Linked DNA regions of Nothobranchius furzeri. The protein of the gene in region 1 interacts with the protein of each later gene in a pairwise test. Links are inferred from orthologs where the notes say so. Each region holds a gene or a part of one and is shown on either strand. Other genes may lie near its edges.

Region 1 (8,361 bases):
CAAAATATAAAAAGCAAATAAATAAATAAATAAATAAATAAATCATAAACTAAAATAAAAGCAATAAAAAAACTCTCTAACTCTGCCACTGCTGGTCCCAAGCCCGGATAAAAAAGAGGAGGGGAGAGTTTGACTTTCTAACTATGTGACAAAAAACAGATGAAAATAAATAAATACGTTTACAAGAGGGAAAAGGGGGGTCACCACTATCAGGGTCGCCAAAATAAATCATTATGGTTCATTCTGTGAGAATCATGAATGTGCACCCTAAATTAGTGAAGATTTTGATGAAAGATTTGTAAGATACACTAACTCTAAAACTGAAAGTTTGACCTGACGGTGGCGCTGCAGGAAAGGTCATATCATCACCAAAACCCATTAAGGTTCATAATCTTGTGATCATTAATGTTAGAAAATATGAGAAGATTTGTATGAAAACTTTTCAAGATACTTTTATTTTTACTTTGGTCTGATGATTTGAGTTTGGCCTGATGGTGGCGATAGAGAACAGGTCAGCTTTCACTTTCAACGGCTTATTTATGTATTTTACATAAATACATACAATGTATTCAAATTTTACATAGAAAACCGTAGTTTCTGGTCAGCAGAGGGAAACAGAGTGCTGTCCAATGTGAAGCTGCTAAAGATTTTGTGAAAAATCACTGAAACCAGTTTTAAAGCTATAGCTAAAAGTGTTAACTCTTTAGCATCGCTTTAATAAACCTTTAAAAATTGTGCCATTTTTTTGTTGTTTTGATTTTAGAAATTGTATTTCTCTTTTAAAGCTGTTACAGCAAATCTACAAACAAGCTTTGAACACAAACACGGCCATGGCACACTTTTATAGGGACTCTAGTAGTTAGTCCTAACGTAGAAGTGGTAGCAGCCGACTGTTTCTCCTTCTCTGATATTATTGAGCTGAGAAAATCACACCAGTGGCGTTCTGTTGATAAATACGTGAGTGTGTTTTGAATGCAGGTCCCTGGGAAGTGCAGTGGTTTGGCTAGTCCGACATCCGGATGATCCAATAATTGCTTTAGGTCTGAAACGTGTTATTGGCAAAGGATTTTAGATAAACGCCAAAAAACCACTTTATTGAATTTTTTTAATCTCCACAATTTATTTATTATGTTAGAACATTTTTAAAAGGTATGAAAAAATGTTTTAAGTGTCGGTCGCGAACGAGCCGGCTCTTTGAAGTGAACGACGGGAGCCGGTGTTCTGGGAATTTCTCCTACCCGGTAAACCATCCTACCCGTTGTTCCTGAGCATGTGCGTGCATGCGTACAACACAAAAAGGGAATGCTACTCTGTTGTCATATTTGCAGGAAAATAGGTAAGTTGTAAGTATTAGTACTTTTTATTGACGTTGATACTTGATTTTTTGGGTAAGGGTTAGGGTTAGGGTTTGTGTCATCTAAAACACCGTAAAATTATCCTATGGGTAGGACGTTTTCTCAGAACACCGGCTCGTCATTGGGAGCCGTCCCCTGTTGTTTTAGTGAAAGCCACAGGCGATTGGTCAACATGTGTAACTGCGTGTCCAGACTGTCCATACACAGAGCAGTAGGGGCGAGGAAGAGGGAGGATCACTCAGACACACAGCAGAGCACATGTGGGAGGAGAGGGAATGAGGAGGAAAAAGGCGAGCGAGAGAGTACGACGAAGACGGTGAAAAAATGAGCGCCAGCAGTCGGAAAGTGGAGATTTCTGAAAGTGTTCAGTTTTTAAATCCATAGAAATGATAAATATTTGATATATTGCATTTTTTTTACATTAGTAAATCATTTTACATATAGTTTTGCATTATTTTGGTTATATATGTAATCTACGCAACAGAAAATCTGAGGAGCCACTTGGGAGCCGAAAGAGCCGACTCTTTTTGGTGAGCTGAGCCAAAAGAACTGGCTCTTTCCATCACTAGAAATGAGTGTGGTGTGTTCGTGTTCGTGTGTGATCCGAAAGGGAGCTGCAGACGCTAAACACGTGAAAAAGAAAGTTGACCACTTTGTGGATTTTGCGGATTAGAACGTAACTCACGTGACTAAGGACCACTGTACCGAGCACAGATTTGACCAACAAGCATCAACCTTTTCAGACAGAGGGAACAAAGAGCAACAATCGAATCGGTCTTCCTTTTCTGACACTCCAAAAGTGTTGCTGCTCTGGAATTGTGCTGATGAAACTGCATCGTCTCGTATCTCCAACTGTTCCACAACATTTCCCTGCAGGTGCACATGTCTGAGGTGTGTAAAGTTACCACCCTTGTTCTAGTAAATAAATGTTACACCTAAGCGGTGGCAGAGTTCATACAGCTGGCGCCGTCTGCTGGATAGGTAGCGCAATATCAGCCATATCGGCCGTCTTTTTGGCCGATAGCCAATACTGTTAATGACCCCGATATCGGCCGACCGATATATCGGCCGGCCGATATATCGGTCGGGCCCTACTGCGCACACTTGGACCACCGGAGGCGCTCATTGCTTCTTCATATATTTCACTGAAATTGCCCCTCTCTTGTTCAACATTGTCACAAAACTCATTCAGCCTAGCCATGCAGAATTGTACATCCAATGATTTGGTCTGCAGTATTCCAAAAAGCACAGCAGCATACTCAAAAAGCCCGTTGAATGTGTTGAGAAAAAAAAGTAAACTCAAAATCCTCCAGCCGTGCGTTAAATCCATCTGCAGAAAGCACGGTGCCCTCATCATACTTGTCGTGGTGGTCTAATATGTGACTCGCTTCTCAAAGACAGCATTTACCAACACTGGATTCCTGTGCATCCCCCCAAGCACTGCTGGACTGACCATAGGGCATAGCGGGCAACTTTCTTTCTTTCTTTCTTTCTAGTTAGTTAGTTAGTTAGTTAGTTAGTTGGTTGGTTGTTTAGTAATAACTGCATTGACCGTGGTTTTAACATCGACATATAAATATTTTTAAAAAATGATATGACGTATGTTGTGACGTGACCACGTAGCGCTGTACGTGCTCGGAGCGCAGGAAGTTGAACTATCAGCTGATCTTGCTGGCTGTTGTTGATATCTTGAAGTTGCCGTCGTGTTTGTTCGACTGCCGCGTCGCTCTTATCGCCGCTCGACACCGGAGAGCCGTTAACGGTCGGGGCACGGACGCGTGTACCGGGCCGGGACGTGCTGCGTGTTTCTCAGGGGTGCAGGAGCTAGCTGTCGCTTCTGCTCGGAGCTGAAGAAAAGCAGCAACGGAAGCCGACGGAGGCTCTTTGTTTGAGTCGTGACGTTGTGAAGTGTAACATCAACTCTTCCCGTGTTAAATTCGTTTTTATGTCGGCTTGTTTGTTGTTTATCTTTATTCTGCACAGCTAGCCGTGCGGCTAAGCGCTCGCTAGCATTAGCTTGTTTGTGTGGAGCTCACCGCGCGGCTCGAGAGGAAACATAACGGAGACTCGGAGAAGGAAGCTCGGTGTTTGTCTAGAGCTGAGGTGGGGTTCACGTGCGGTGGTACGAAGTGAACAGCTGTTTCTTATACGCTCATCTGCGCCTGTTCAGCTTGTTTTATCGGTTTTCAAAGCAAACAAACATTTGATCGATGAACCGCTGGCTGTGTGTTTACTGACAGCTGTTGAAGCCCCCCCTCCATGCGGAGTGTCTTCAGATTTAACCTGTCCGGGTAGGAACTGGATGCTTTTAGGCCTTTCATACCTCTGTTCTGGTGCAGTTTTATGACCTGAGATAAATAGGTGTGACTTACAGGTAAACCGGCTGTCAAATAAATCTGACGTGGATAGATGTGACCTGAAATAGCCCCCTGAGGTGCTGTGATCAGGGAGAGGCAGCAGGTAGAGGGTCCCTTTGAGTCTTGAGGTGTGGTGAGCCGCCCCCCCCACTACTGACCAATGCTGGATCTGGAGGTGGTCCCTGAGAGATCACTAGGAAATGAGCAATGGGAATTCGCCTTAGGTGAGCGGCACACACTCATCATCTTTAAATGAAAGACGATGAATCTGTGTGACTTGGTTTCTGTGTGCAGGGATGCCATTTTCCCAGGCCATCTGTATCCTCCAGAAACACTGCCGTATCATCAAAAATGTTCAGGTGCTTTACAGCGAACAGGTAAACACCCGCTCCCACTCGTCTCACAAATGTTAGTCCGCAGGTCGAGGTCTGGTTGTAGGTGAAACATCAAAGGTGTGTGTGTGTGTGAATGTGTGACGTGATAGTGCTGCAGCAGGGACTCGCACTGCTCTGTGTGACGCGAGTCAGTTTAGATTATGTGGTGTGTACAAGTCTTTATTTTGTTGTGTGAGCCCAGCATTCTGGACCAGGCTGATGAGCAGCTCTAGAGAACATCTGGACAACCATCACATTTGCTTGTAATTTACTGTCTCATCCGCTGAACTCTGTCCTCCTTCCTTTGGACAGTCATCGTTTTGGATCGGCCCACTTGTCGCATGAACAGCTGCTATTTGGTTAAGTTGTCTGTTTGGAGCCATAGTCGTCTATAAGCCAGTTTAAATGAGCTCATTTGTATCAAAATGGGTATAAAACCAGCCAACATCACATTAAAGGGACCGTCTGGCTGCCGAGAGGTACTCTAAAGAGGACGAAGACTTACGCACACCACTGAACAGAGCAGAGATCATTTGAAGTCATGATCCTGGCACCTCCTCTCCTCTAAAGAGCAAGACTCTCCTTTTCCAACAACCTAGTTAGCCGGTTTGGGTCTGGTTAGAGACGTCAGAACATCAGTCAGCTTGTCTTGGAACAGTGTGATCCAGGCTCGGGCTGATCTGAGCTCTGCCTGTCTGACTTTTTTAATTACAGACATCTTTTATTCTCTCTCCAGACGCCGCTCAGTCATGACCTCATACTGAACTTGACCCAAGATGGGATTAAGCTGCTGTTTGATGCCACAACCCAGAGACTCAAGGTGACAGTGGATCGTTACCATAACAACACCAGCTTCACCCTCTGACCCTAACGAAGAAGCACTGTTTTTTTGTTTTTACCTGGCAGGTGGTTGAAGTGTATGATCTGAGCAAAGTCAAATTGAAATACTGGTGAGTAGAAACCCGTCCATTAGGATTTATCTGGTATCTGAGCTGAACCGAGTCCGTTTCCTTCGGACGGACGGGCCTTCCGCTGCTCAGCCAATCACACTAACTCAGTCTGCTGCGGTGATGCGTTTGTTGTTGGTGTCCCTCTACCTGTGGAGTCCAGCTCATGTTGCTCTCTGTAACAGCCCGTAACACTGTTGAAATTAGGCTGTGTGTGTGTGTGTGTGTGTGTGTGTTTTAGTGGGGTCCATTTCAACTCCCAGGCCATCGCTCCTACCATAGAGCAGATAGATCAGTCATTTGGAGCTACGCACCCTGGAGGTACGTCGCAGAAACCTCACTAGCCAGCGCGTTGCCTTTACTGTGACTGAAGCTCCTCCTTCTGCTCCTCTCCACCCAGTCTACAATGCTGCAGAGCAGCTGTTCCATCTCAACTTCAGAGGACTGTCCTTCTCCTTTCAGCTGGACTCGTGGAACGAAGCTCCGAAGTACGAGGTGAGAGGAGCTAATCAGTTGTTTCCTCTCACCTGAGGGAACGTCGCTCGCATCCTGGTGAATTATGTGATTGACCTTCATGCAGACTGAGGTTCTTAGATGTTGCAGACGCCTGCAGCTTCAGCTCTTAAGGCTAGTTTATACTTCTGCATCGGTGCGGAGGCGCGCTACGCCATTATTCGTCGTTGCAAGGGCTTCAGCAGGCTCACAAGGACAGGCGGCGTAGAGCCCGCCTTTCTAAATATCCGTCGAAAGCAACAGAGACCGCAAGCCTGTGATTGGTCAGGACACCATCAGTGTTCATTTTGTTGACTAAATATTTTCGTTACGAATGAATGAATGAATTTTTGCTGACTGGAACGAAACAGAAACTTCCATGCTTTCGTTCTTTTTAAAACACAGAAACAGTTTTGTTGACCTGTTTTGTAGCTACGTTTCGCCGGCTGCCGGCGAAACGTAGCTACAAAACAGGTCAACAAAACTGTTTCTGTGTTTTAAAAAGAACGAAAGCATGGTATTAGAACCACGACACAGCAAGAACACACCTAAGAAACAGAAACTTACACACATAATAAAGACTAAATTATGATAAATATTAAGCGACACTTTCCTAACCCTAACCAACAACTGACCGAATCAAAAATCCAATCAGAAAATGGAAAAGGCGGGAATAGACGAGAAAAGAACCAATCCGAGTCTGGAGCCAACCAGACGTCATTAAAGAGCAAGTCAACACCTACCAGAGTCTAACTCCACTCCCACTTCATGTTTGAAAAACGCAACAAATGCTGTTGCCTGGCAGACCAAGAAGGCGGAGCTGCTAACAAATACACACACACACACACACACACACACACACAGGCTCACGACTGCACTGTGACATCATAATGTATCAGTTAGCCAATAGCGGTGGCAGATTTAAATTAAAATACAGTGCAGAGTTTTTACCTGACAACGGCACAACACTGCCAGTTTTAGGCAGAATATTTAAATTTTAACTAAGATGCACTGAAATGCCAAATTATTGACGACACGTGTCTGCAGCACGATTAGACACTCGTTTATTTAGTTTATCAGCAAAAAAAAGTTTATTTGGGGGTGACTTGCTCTTTAATGTTTATGCCAGTAAACGTTACCGTGGATACAGAAAGTATTCAGACCCCCGTCTCTCTGTTACATTGCTGCTGTTTGCTAAAATCAGTCAAATCTGTTTTCCTCGTTAATGCACACACAGCACCCATCATGACAGAAAAACACAGACTTCTAGAAACTTCTGCAGACTTATTAGAAAAGACAAACTGAAATATTACATGGTCCCAAGTTTTCTGGCCCTTTGCTGTTACGCTCGTATATAAAATATATGTAAGATATAAAAGTTGAGGTGGTCGCTCCTTCCAGACCAACGATCTCCTTTATCCTAACGTAGCGTTGACCTTCTGGACAAACGGCCCTAAACCGTTAATTTTCTTATTTTTAACTCCTAATTTGTAATCTTTTGTCTGTTGATGACATTTTATGATTTAATGACTATTTTTTTCTGATGTTAATCTATTTCATTATGATTTCATGACTTTGTTTTATTTAGTTTTGATCTATGTGAAGCACTTTTTGATTCTATGTCTGTGATGAGTGTGTAGAAATAACATTTACTCACATATATTTAACTTGGGTGCTTTCCATTTCTTCTGATCATCATTGAGATGGTCCTACACCTTCATTGGAGTCCAGCTGTGCTTGACTGTGACTGGACTGGGTTAGGAAAGCCACACCTGTCTATAACAGACCTTACAGCTCACCATGCATGTCGGAGCTGATGAGAATCATGAGGTCAGGGGAACTGCCTGAAGGGCTCAGAGACAGAATTGTGGCAAGGCACAGATCTGGTCAATGTTACAAAACCATCTCCGCTGCTCAGTGGCCTTCGTGATCCTCGAATGGGAGACATTTGGGACGACCAGAACCCTCCAGGCCGTCCAGCCAAACTGGGCTACTGGGGGAGAAGAGCCTTGGTGAGAGAGGTAAAGAAGAACCCAAAGATCACTGTGGTGTTCTCAAATGAAGACGTTTGTAGAATAAGATTCTCTGGTCTGATGAGACCAAGGTAGAACTTTTTGGCCTTAATCAATCAATCAATCAAAGCTTTATTTATAAAGCGCCTTCCACAACCCTGTCAGGAAGCCCAAGGCGCTGAACATGGTACAACATTAATTCTACGTGGTATGTGTGGACACACCCAGGCACTTTACTTTACTTGCATTTAAACTGTAATCCTCTCCTGTCCCACCTGAAATGAATCTTGAGATACGGTGGGCCGTAAGGGACACGCCATAGCCGGGACAGGACGATCGTCGCAGCTCTGTGACATCATCGGCCTTTGAAGGATGAATTCGGACACGGCGTTTCGTTAGACCCAGGATGGGAACCGCTGGTGCTACAGGAGTAAACCAACAAACTGGATTATATCGCTGGAGATCCGGTGCAGCAGTACATCTAATGTTATTTTACAAACTCATCTTTTATGTTAAAGAAGAAATCTGAACATTTCTGCAGAAATAACTGGTTAGCTAGTCAACACCGAAGGCTGTAGACTCCTATTTCTCTGAACAGAGGCTGTTCTAGAAGCTATTTCCTTTAACTCATTTTTTTTTCCTGTTTCCTCAGATTCCTCATGGAGCCATGGTCAAAAGGATGCACATCTACACTGGAAACAACCTGCAGGAAACCAGGTGATGCTGATAATCCCACAGCTCCTGCGCTGCTGCATCAGACCCTAATCCTAATCCAATGTTTTTGTGGCTTTAAACATATGAATAACTAATCAGAAGCTCTGGTC
Region 2 (8,615 bases), on another chromosome or scaffold:
AACTATAATTAGCACACGATTGTTAATGTCCGCACATGTTCTCTATTTTCTCTTATTTGTGCCTGAAGCGCTCTGTGACTGTGGAGCTCATCAACTGTGCTGCGGTGATTTCACCTCACTGATGCATCGAAACGCCTCTCCGCTTTGCGGTCAGGAGATCCCTTTGATCTGCTCAAAAATAACTGATGAGGTGAAAAAGTAAGAATCCAGGCAGCAGATTTTCTGAAGACTTTAGAGGAGATGCAGGAAGATGAGAGACAGACAGGACAGGGAACTAATAAAAACAAGAAAACAAAACAAAGTGTTGAAAAGTAAAATGTGGGTAGATTTATCTCCACTACACGTTTTTACCTCTATAAAACAATAAGTTATACACATGTAATATTTATATATCTGATACAATTCAGATCGTCTTCAAAACTCTGTCACACAGCCAGGGCCGTTTCAAGACATTTTGGGGTCCAAGGCAAAATGACCCCCCACCCCCCCATAACTGGGGTCCCCAGAAGCCTCTGTGTAATCCATACCCTCTCCAGGAGAGTTAGTTATACAGTGTTTGTAAAAGCCCCTCAGACATTACTGACATGTTCTAATATTATCAGATGAAAAACTAAATTATCAGACTTCCTGTCTCATCTGCTGCTTTTCTAAACTTGCAAAAAGTAACAAAACCATTTGAAAGCCACTATTTGTGGATTCTCTGAAAGTTTCCATGGAGTGTGTGACAACTTATTTTTTCATTGATCCTATCGTCTAATCTCACAGCTGAAACAAGCATCCTTAATAATCTGTGTACTGGAAGCGTACCAATGTTGTAGTAAAACAAAAGGTATAAAAATTTATTATTAATAAAACCTTGTTGCAGCATTAAAGCAGAAAAATGAGATTTTGCAATAAATATGCAAAATATTTACATATGAATAGTTTTAGAACCCTTTTATTGGCAGAATCTGATATTAATTTAGCTCTTACAAAAAATGGGTCCCAACGTGGTTTGTGTGGCGTTTGCCATAGTGTGATGTCATAGGCACAGATCCCCTATCCTCTTGTTTGGAAATGGAAATATGATCACCCTACATTAAACAAACTGTCCACCCGGGCTTTCGAAATGCACAGAGACGCTTCGCTGCCTATGACTTTGAATGTCAGTTGAGAGTCAGTCTCATGCAGACTGACCAATGAAGAGAGGGCCTCAAGTTAAGACCCTCTCCTCATTGGTCAGCCCACACAAGGTGGGTTAAAGGTTACCCTGAGCGGGTTACGTGATGTCAGGCATTCAAGTATTGAGTATATTTACTGCATATTACAGTAAAATATTCTGTATGTGACCATATTATGGTGATCCTTGGGTCGTGATGATGGGGCCCTTTAATATTGTTGCCCAGGGTACAACAAAGTGTTAATCTGGCCCTGTGCTCACTACTGTTTTAAGCCAGGGGGAAACCCAGATGTGGACTCACCAAGCAGATACTTTCCAGATTCTCATATTTAATGCTTTTCTTACAGCCATGAACTTTTTCTCCTTTTAGACATAAATTGTTCAACTGTTACCTGCATAGACATCAATTTGATGTCTGTGGTTACTGGCAGCTTGTTCAAATAGAAGGTCGGCTCTGATTGGTTCTTTTCTCGTCTAGCCCCACCTGTTCGATGTGCTGATTGACAGTGACTCCCATTTCTTCCTGTTGCACATTGAAGCTCTGCTAAAAACATTTTTGAGATCCAACCACGCAAAATAATATTTTTGACCATTTTTCAAGTGGTCTTCTACTTTTGATCTGGACTATACTGTATGGATAGATTACAGACAGTGTTTTAGGGATAGGGTGTTAGACCATGGTGGAATTTTAGCAATTAAATCCTCAGAAACAAAAACTTGCATTTGAGACATGGAATGCCACCCCTCTGTTCCAGGTGAGAGGCTGAGGGCCAAGGAGGGCTTCTTGATTGCACCAAAAATATAATCCTGTATTTTGAGAAGCAGCTCAACGAACTAAAAGGGAGCTTCCCTGTGCTTTTGGAGCAGCCCATAGGGAATGGTTTCTGGGTTCAAGGTTCTGGTTCTGGAGAAATCCTTGGGCTAAATTATTTCCCCAGTCCGTTCCTGACGTCAGACAGCAGCTCACAGTCCTTTATGATAGACTTGGGAGTTGGGACATCTGCTAGATGGCACTCTAACTAGGAAATCCAGAGTCCTGCTGCTCAGGTGGGAAATTAAAGTGTGACCTCGATGGGTGTGACTGAATGGAGTGGCCCACCTGGTCTGAACCAGAGATGTGCTTTATATTTGGACATCTCTGCTAGTGTCAGAACATTATGTTCTAACTCAAGGATGCCCATTAGTACATGTGGTGGGAAGGGTCGCAGGTCAAAGATTGATTAGCTGCATCATCACACCTGCAACCAAATGTTTTGGAAAACGGATTGGAGTCACATGATCACCACTTGGTGGTGAGCTTAAGCCAAAAGCAGGGGAAGATGTCCGGTAGACCTGGTAGGCACAAATGTATAATAGCGGTCTGCTGGGAACCCCTGGTGGAGGAATCTGGAAACATTTTTTTCAGCACTCACTTCCAACAGAGACTTGATCACAACCTCATGGGGTGAGCAGATCCACACCAGTAAAATGTGGGACTTATAACTCTGAAAGGTTGTTGTAATTTAACATTCAACCCCAAAAGTACACACGTTATTAAAATCCCAAGTAATAAAGCATGTTTAAATGCATTACAATTCCATTTCTACTTTAACTGTCTTTATGTTGTGTTTTTGCCATTAACAAACTTTCACTATTCATTTCTCTATTACATTTTTATGTGTGTGCAGGTTTTTTTTCTCTTCATTTGTAAAATTGTCAAAATAAACTTGTAAAAATAAAAATGACTAAAAAATACCTCTAGTCATTTATTTTAGCAAATACATAAAATGTAGATTTTATTTTATTAATTAAACAAATCAAATTAATTTCATTTGGTCTCATGGAAAATTAAATTAAATATTACTTTGTTTTACTTTTCTAAAATATATATTTCAGATTTTTTTTGTAAAACCCTTCAGTGACGTAATCCGGAATCCCGCCCTTGCTGTAACTTGATTGGATCGATCCTTTGGTTTCTGGGCTCTGATTGGCTTGTAATTACAAAACACAGTTCCGCAAAACCTGTGTTTGTGTTGTGACTGTTTTGTGGGAGACAGGTCTGCAGACCAGCTGGCGTCCTGAAACAAGTAGGCTGCCTGCCACTCTTCTGTGCTTCGGTTCGTTTCAGCACCTGTTTGAACGTGCTATTGAGATCCAACACAGTTCTTTTCTAGGCTTTAACCATGTCGGGTCAACACTACTGATTATATTTACCAGCTAGCTGCGTGGCTAGGTGTTAGCATCGGGGTCCCGCTGTAAGTTTAGCTTTGGCTAGCACCTTTTGAGAGACGTGTCTCATTGTTTACCGGAGGCTTCCGTGCCGAGACAACAGTAATAGCGCGCGAGTTCGGTCTGTTGTTATACGTCATCGTTGTAGACATATAGCCTTATCTCCTGTTGGTGGTGGTGTAGGGACCTTAGGTGGAGACTCGTGTCCTCCGTCCACACGGTCTCCTCCTTAGAGCTGAGACTTTATGATAAAACCAGCCTGGTGTCCCCAGGAGTTTACATAGTTTTGAAGGCTGGTTAAATGCTTAATTAATGACGCGCTGCTTCTGGAGGAAGCCTGGACGTTTCTGGTGTTACATCGAGTTTCGTCCCCCTGTAGAGCAGGTCCTCCTTCTGTGGTGGACTTACAGTCATCTGGTCCTCCTGATTAAGTGTTCAACTTGTCAATAGAAGAACGAGCATCTGAGGATAAAATACACACAACAGCGAGCTAGCTGTGAGCTAATTTCTGTTATGGTGACATTTTGACACCAGGATCACGTGTCTTCTACATCATAATCATGTAGGATCTGCCTGATGTGAAGCCACGCACAACATCACATGTGTGCCATGTTCTCGTTGTCTTGGACTGAAAAGAATTCTCTGCTTGGAACCTGGAAATGGAGGAAGAACGACCCTCTCTAGTAACTTAAATTGTAAGGCACCTGACATATTTATGGATGCAGACCTCCACCAGCATGAGAGGTGGACCCAGAGGAAGGACAGCAAGTTCTTCCCCAAATGCGTGTTTTGCTTTAAACATATAAATACCAGCCTCTCAGAAGAGGGGCTCGGAGACCAGGACTTCCTCGTTCTGTGCAGTCTGTCATTTGTAAGGCTGTAAAACGAAGATACCCTGAGATTAAAGCGAGTCTCTGAGAGAGAGAGCGAACCCCTCCTAATAAACAGGTTTAATACAGACAGAACCAGAGTCATGGAGGAACTCCATTCAGCTGTTTGTATTTGGATAGAATCAGTTCAGCATACAGTAATGACACAAATGATCTCTGTCTCTCAGGAGCATTTTGTTTTATAATAAACCTTTCTTTTAGCATGAAATACAAAGCTTATATTTACAAAGATTATTGAGAGCGTAACGGGAAATTATCCTGAAAATAATCAGTAAAGACATTAATCTTGACTGCAATATATTATAGCATAATAATATCATGAGGATCCAATCTGAGGCTGCATACTAGCACAGTCATTAGCACAATGGGAAGGTCGCTGGTTTCAATCCCAGCTGTGGCCTTTCTGCATGGAGCTAGCCTGTTCTCCATATGCAAGTGTGGCTTCTCTCTGGGATTTCCACACTCAGACCAAAAACATTTCAGGTTAACTGGAGACTCTAAATGTGAGTGAGTTTCCTGATTTTATATTTTGACCTTTAGTTTTAGTTTTGTTTTTTCTTTCATCAGATCAGACAGCAGATGGTTTTCTGTCTCCACTGGTTACCTGTTAAGTTCAGGATCATTTTCAAACTCCTTCTTTTCCACCATCAACAATGTTGCGCCTCCATGTTTTTGGGGCATTGTCAACATTGCTGCCTCCTCTCGTTCCCTCCAATCTTCCTCGTTGTTCCCTCTTCCCGCCTCGTCACTCTGGGAGGTAGAGCCTTTGCCTGTTCTGCCCCTAAACTCTGGAACTCATTGCCGCCTGACATCCGTAACCTTGACTCTCTCCCACTTTTTAAATCCAGAATAAAAACGTGCATGTTTAGGGCAGCATTATTATTATTATTATTACTAATATCGTTATTATTGTTACTATCCTTATGTCTCCCTTTAACAGACCTCTACTCTGAACATCAGACTGTGTCACTGGGACCTGACACTTTAGCATGCTTTTCAGGATCTCTACTGACATCTCTCCTGTTGTAGACACATTTCTTTTTAGATAACAGGATAAAGGTTTTATAATGTGAATTAAATTTTTGTCAGAGCAAAGCTAAACATCATTATCTGTATACACCCAGACTTTATGCAAGAGTTTCTTTTTATTGTGACTGAAGTGAGTTTAAAAACAAAGTTAAAGCTTCTGCTCAGAGAAGAGATTGTTTCATGGGACAGTGTTCTTTTGTTTCTGAGACAGGTTAGACCAAATCCCAGAAATCTGACTTTTACTGACCCTGCTAACCTCATGGTATCTCTTCAGGTGACAAACCAGTCGGAGAAAAATGGCGTCGGACTCTCCTCGCAGACCGAGCCGCTGTGCTGGAGGAGTTCTGGTGCGAGCACAAGCTGCAACGTAAGAGCGTGAACCTGCTGTGCATGTTCTTAGAAAGTCAGATTGATGATTCCATAACTGCATGTGAGCTACAGATGAGCTATCAGCCCTTTGTCCCTGATGACAGAAGATAAGAACTGCTTCGTACTAAACGTTGATCCCTTTAACTTTATTGTGATACTTTGTGGGTTTCCTTTTGACATGGATGTCCTGTTTCCATAGGGAGCAGTCATACATGGAAAGTGTTGTCACGTTTCTACAGGATGTGGTTCCACAGGTACGTCTTATTTAGATACAGGCGACAAATGCACAGGTGAGAATCTTTAAAGGGGCGTGGGTTAAAACGTGTGCAAAAGCAACACTCAATAAATTTCCTACTTCTCCCTCCTACTGGTTGAAAGCAGAAATGCAACTGTTGTAAACAACTCTGCCGCAGTCCACTGTAGCTAGCACTAACAATGGGCTATTGCTAACATGAGCCAGCTGATACTAAATAAGCCACGAAGTAAAAAGATCCACACTGTTAAACAAAAACAGTTATTACGTACAAGTCCAGTAACAACAAAGCTAGGTCACCATCAGTCTGACTTCGTAGCCTCATTTAGCTCCCTCAAGCTAGTGTAGGTCGTGCCGATGATCACTTTGGTTTTGGATCTTTGCTTCATCCCCAAAGTCATTACTCTCTTACCTTTAGGCTCAACCATGATGCCAACAAAAAAGCTGAATTCTTCTTCTGTCTGATTTTTTTTATTGACGACCAGTGAACTGAAAAAGCTAATTGCTAGTCTTTATATTAGCTAACAGCACAGTACACATCTATTATTATTATTATTATTATTATTATTATTATTATTATATAAAAACTATTTACCAGCAAATGTTGCTGCACATTAGTGTGGGAATAGGTCAAAGGTCAATTCCAATCAATCTGTAGTCCTTTATTCTACAGGGGGAAAGATTATTCATTAGTAGAAAACATTCCACCCAGCTGATGATCCAGGTTTTCTCCAAGGTCAGAGGTCAAAGCTTAGAGAAATGACCAAAATCTTCATAAAAACAAGAGCTAATTTAAAGATTAAAGGTCACAGCTCAGCTTAGGTTGGTTTGATCTTAGCCACCCACTGGCCTTCTGGAACATTGTGGTAGATTTTTACCCACAATGCCTTGGTTATTCTGACTGTCAACAAGGGGGTGGACGCTGATAGTTTGGCTTGGTTCTGCAGCTATGGGGCACCATGAACTCCTCTGGCTAAGTGTCCCAGAGTCTTACGTGAGACCATCTGACAGCTGGAGCTTGGACCAAACCGGGTCATGAAACAGAGCCATGATCCAAACACAGTAGCAGACCTAGAACAGAATCAAAGAGATGTGATGCTCCAGGCAGACCCAGGGTTCTAGATTTTCAACTAGTCCTTGTTGCTGTTTTGAAACCATCTGGCTAAAGGGATGGGCCAAGTGGACCTGGAGCCAGATGCTTCCTGTTAGATTCTGTAGCGTTAGCATACTGAGCACACCTTGTTAGAAAACAGATATATTTGTCAAAAACAAACAAGTGAGCAAAACTAAAGACAATAAAAAAATCCTCTATTTTAGTACATGCATTTTTTTGAACAGTTGCAAAATACTTTTTCCTCTAAAGTAATTGGCTGATTGTTGCATAGAGTTAAATAGAGAGCCTGTGGGGAGAGAACATGGGTCTAATCTGTCCCTACTTCCGTTGCTTGCGTATGATTTAATTTAAACATGAATGAATGAAAGCCCCTTTTTTCCCAAGCAGCAAACGTCGCTGGGTCAGTCCCAGCACAGAACGAGTTACCAGTGGTGGCTGACACCCAGCAGTCTCAGCAACTTTGTTCACAGAGTTGAAATTAAGTCATTCATGAACAAATATGAATGATAATGCCAAGAGGGGGCCATAAGATAAGACTTTATTGATGCTGCAGTGGGGACATTTGTGCAAAGGAGTACCAAAGTGACCAAGAACGCAAAAATAAAAAAAGACAAGACTCTATATTCAACAGTAGTTCCTAAATACGGCAAATTGAATGTTCAGAGATGATGAGTCATAGCTCCGGTGCTGTGGTTTTGGGTCGGGGTTAGAGTCACAGGCACAGCCAACATACCAACAGGTGAACCCTGAAAAATGAGAATCTGGTGCAAAAGTTCATTTATGTCAGTAATCCAGCTTAGACTGAGAGACCATCTAAAGGCTCAGGAGCCCTTTGCAGGTGTTCTGGATCCATCAGCTGATTGGAGTGTGGCACTGAGGCAAGATGATTGAACCTTTTCACAACGTTCTAATTGTCTGAGATTTAGCATGTGGGGTTTTCATCAGCTGTGAGCCATAATCGTCACAATTATAACAAATGTGGGCTTGAAAGATCTGGCTTTCTATTCTCATGTCTATCTCATGTAATATTCACCCTTTAGATTTGGTTTAAATGAACTTTGCTTCACATTCTACTTTTTTGAGTTTCACCTACAAGTTTAAATTTTCCATGTACAACAAGGTAGACCCAGAGCAACACGTGACTTCTGTAGACATTTCAGATGTTTCCTTTTTCATCTGCTGAAAAGTTCATTTCTAACCGGCAGACCACGTTTCTGTGGATACAGAGCATCTAGTTTTTACAGCTGTTAGATCGTCCACTACAAACTTCTCTTTGGACACGGTTTGTGTTTTTTGCTGTATCTGTTTTGTTCACTACTTTTTATTTATTTATTTATTTATTTATTTTTTGAATGGCAGGCCTACACCGGGGCTCCACCCACAGATGAGAAAGAGAAAGTCATTTGGGTTCGATTTGAGAAAGCCGACATCAACGGTGAGTCTGTAAAACCGACGTGTTGTCAGCCAACATCGTTACGTGTTGTGGCAGTTTGCCAGTTCTGTTTTTTTTATCTTACCTGCTTCCAAGTGTCATTTCCTCTGTGGCGAGCGCATCTTTAAAAAAAGGGGGGGGGCGCGACCCGATCAGGTGTG

What was found.
Region 2: the proteins of phaf1 (region 1) and bcas3 interact in binary tests that used the Homo sapiens proteins (3 or more experiments, as listed by UniProt). The link is inferred for Nothobranchius furzeri from reciprocal best matches to the Homo sapiens genes PHAF1 and BCAS3.

What each region holds. Positions count from the first base shown.
Region 1 is NC_091744.1:80,992,956-81,001,316, forward strand, and holds the start of phaf1 (phagosome assembly factor 1), read left to right. Parts: upstream 1-3,434; 5' UTR 3,435-3,646; intron 3,647-3,729; 5' UTR 3,730-3,872; coding exon 3,873-3,936; intron 3,937-4,006; coding exon 4,007-4,089; intron 4,090-4,822; coding exon 4,823-4,906; intron 4,907-4,992; coding exon 4,993-5,036; intron 5,037-5,274; coding exon 5,275-5,354; intron 5,355-5,433; coding exon 5,434-5,528; intron 5,529-8,189; coding exon 8,190-8,254; intron 8,255-8,361. UniProt on the Homo sapiens protein: Plays a regulatory role in autophagic activity. In complex with BCAS3, associates with the autophagosome formation site during both non-selective and selective autophagy.
Region 2 is NC_091753.1:23,577,462-23,586,076, reverse strand, and holds the start of bcas3 (BCAS3 microtubule associated cell migration factor), read left to right. Parts: upstream 1-3,116; 5' UTR 3,117-3,225; exon of another isoform or gene 3,226-3,255; intron 3,256-5,560; 5' UTR 5,561-5,582; coding exon 5,583-5,653; intron 5,654-5,854; coding exon 5,855-5,909; intron 5,910-8,381; coding exon 8,382-8,457; intron 8,458-8,615. UniProt on the Homo sapiens protein: Plays a role in angiogenesis. Participates in the regulation of cell polarity and directional endothelial cell migration by mediating both the activation and recruitment of CDC42 and the reorganization of the actin cytoskeleton at the cell leading edge.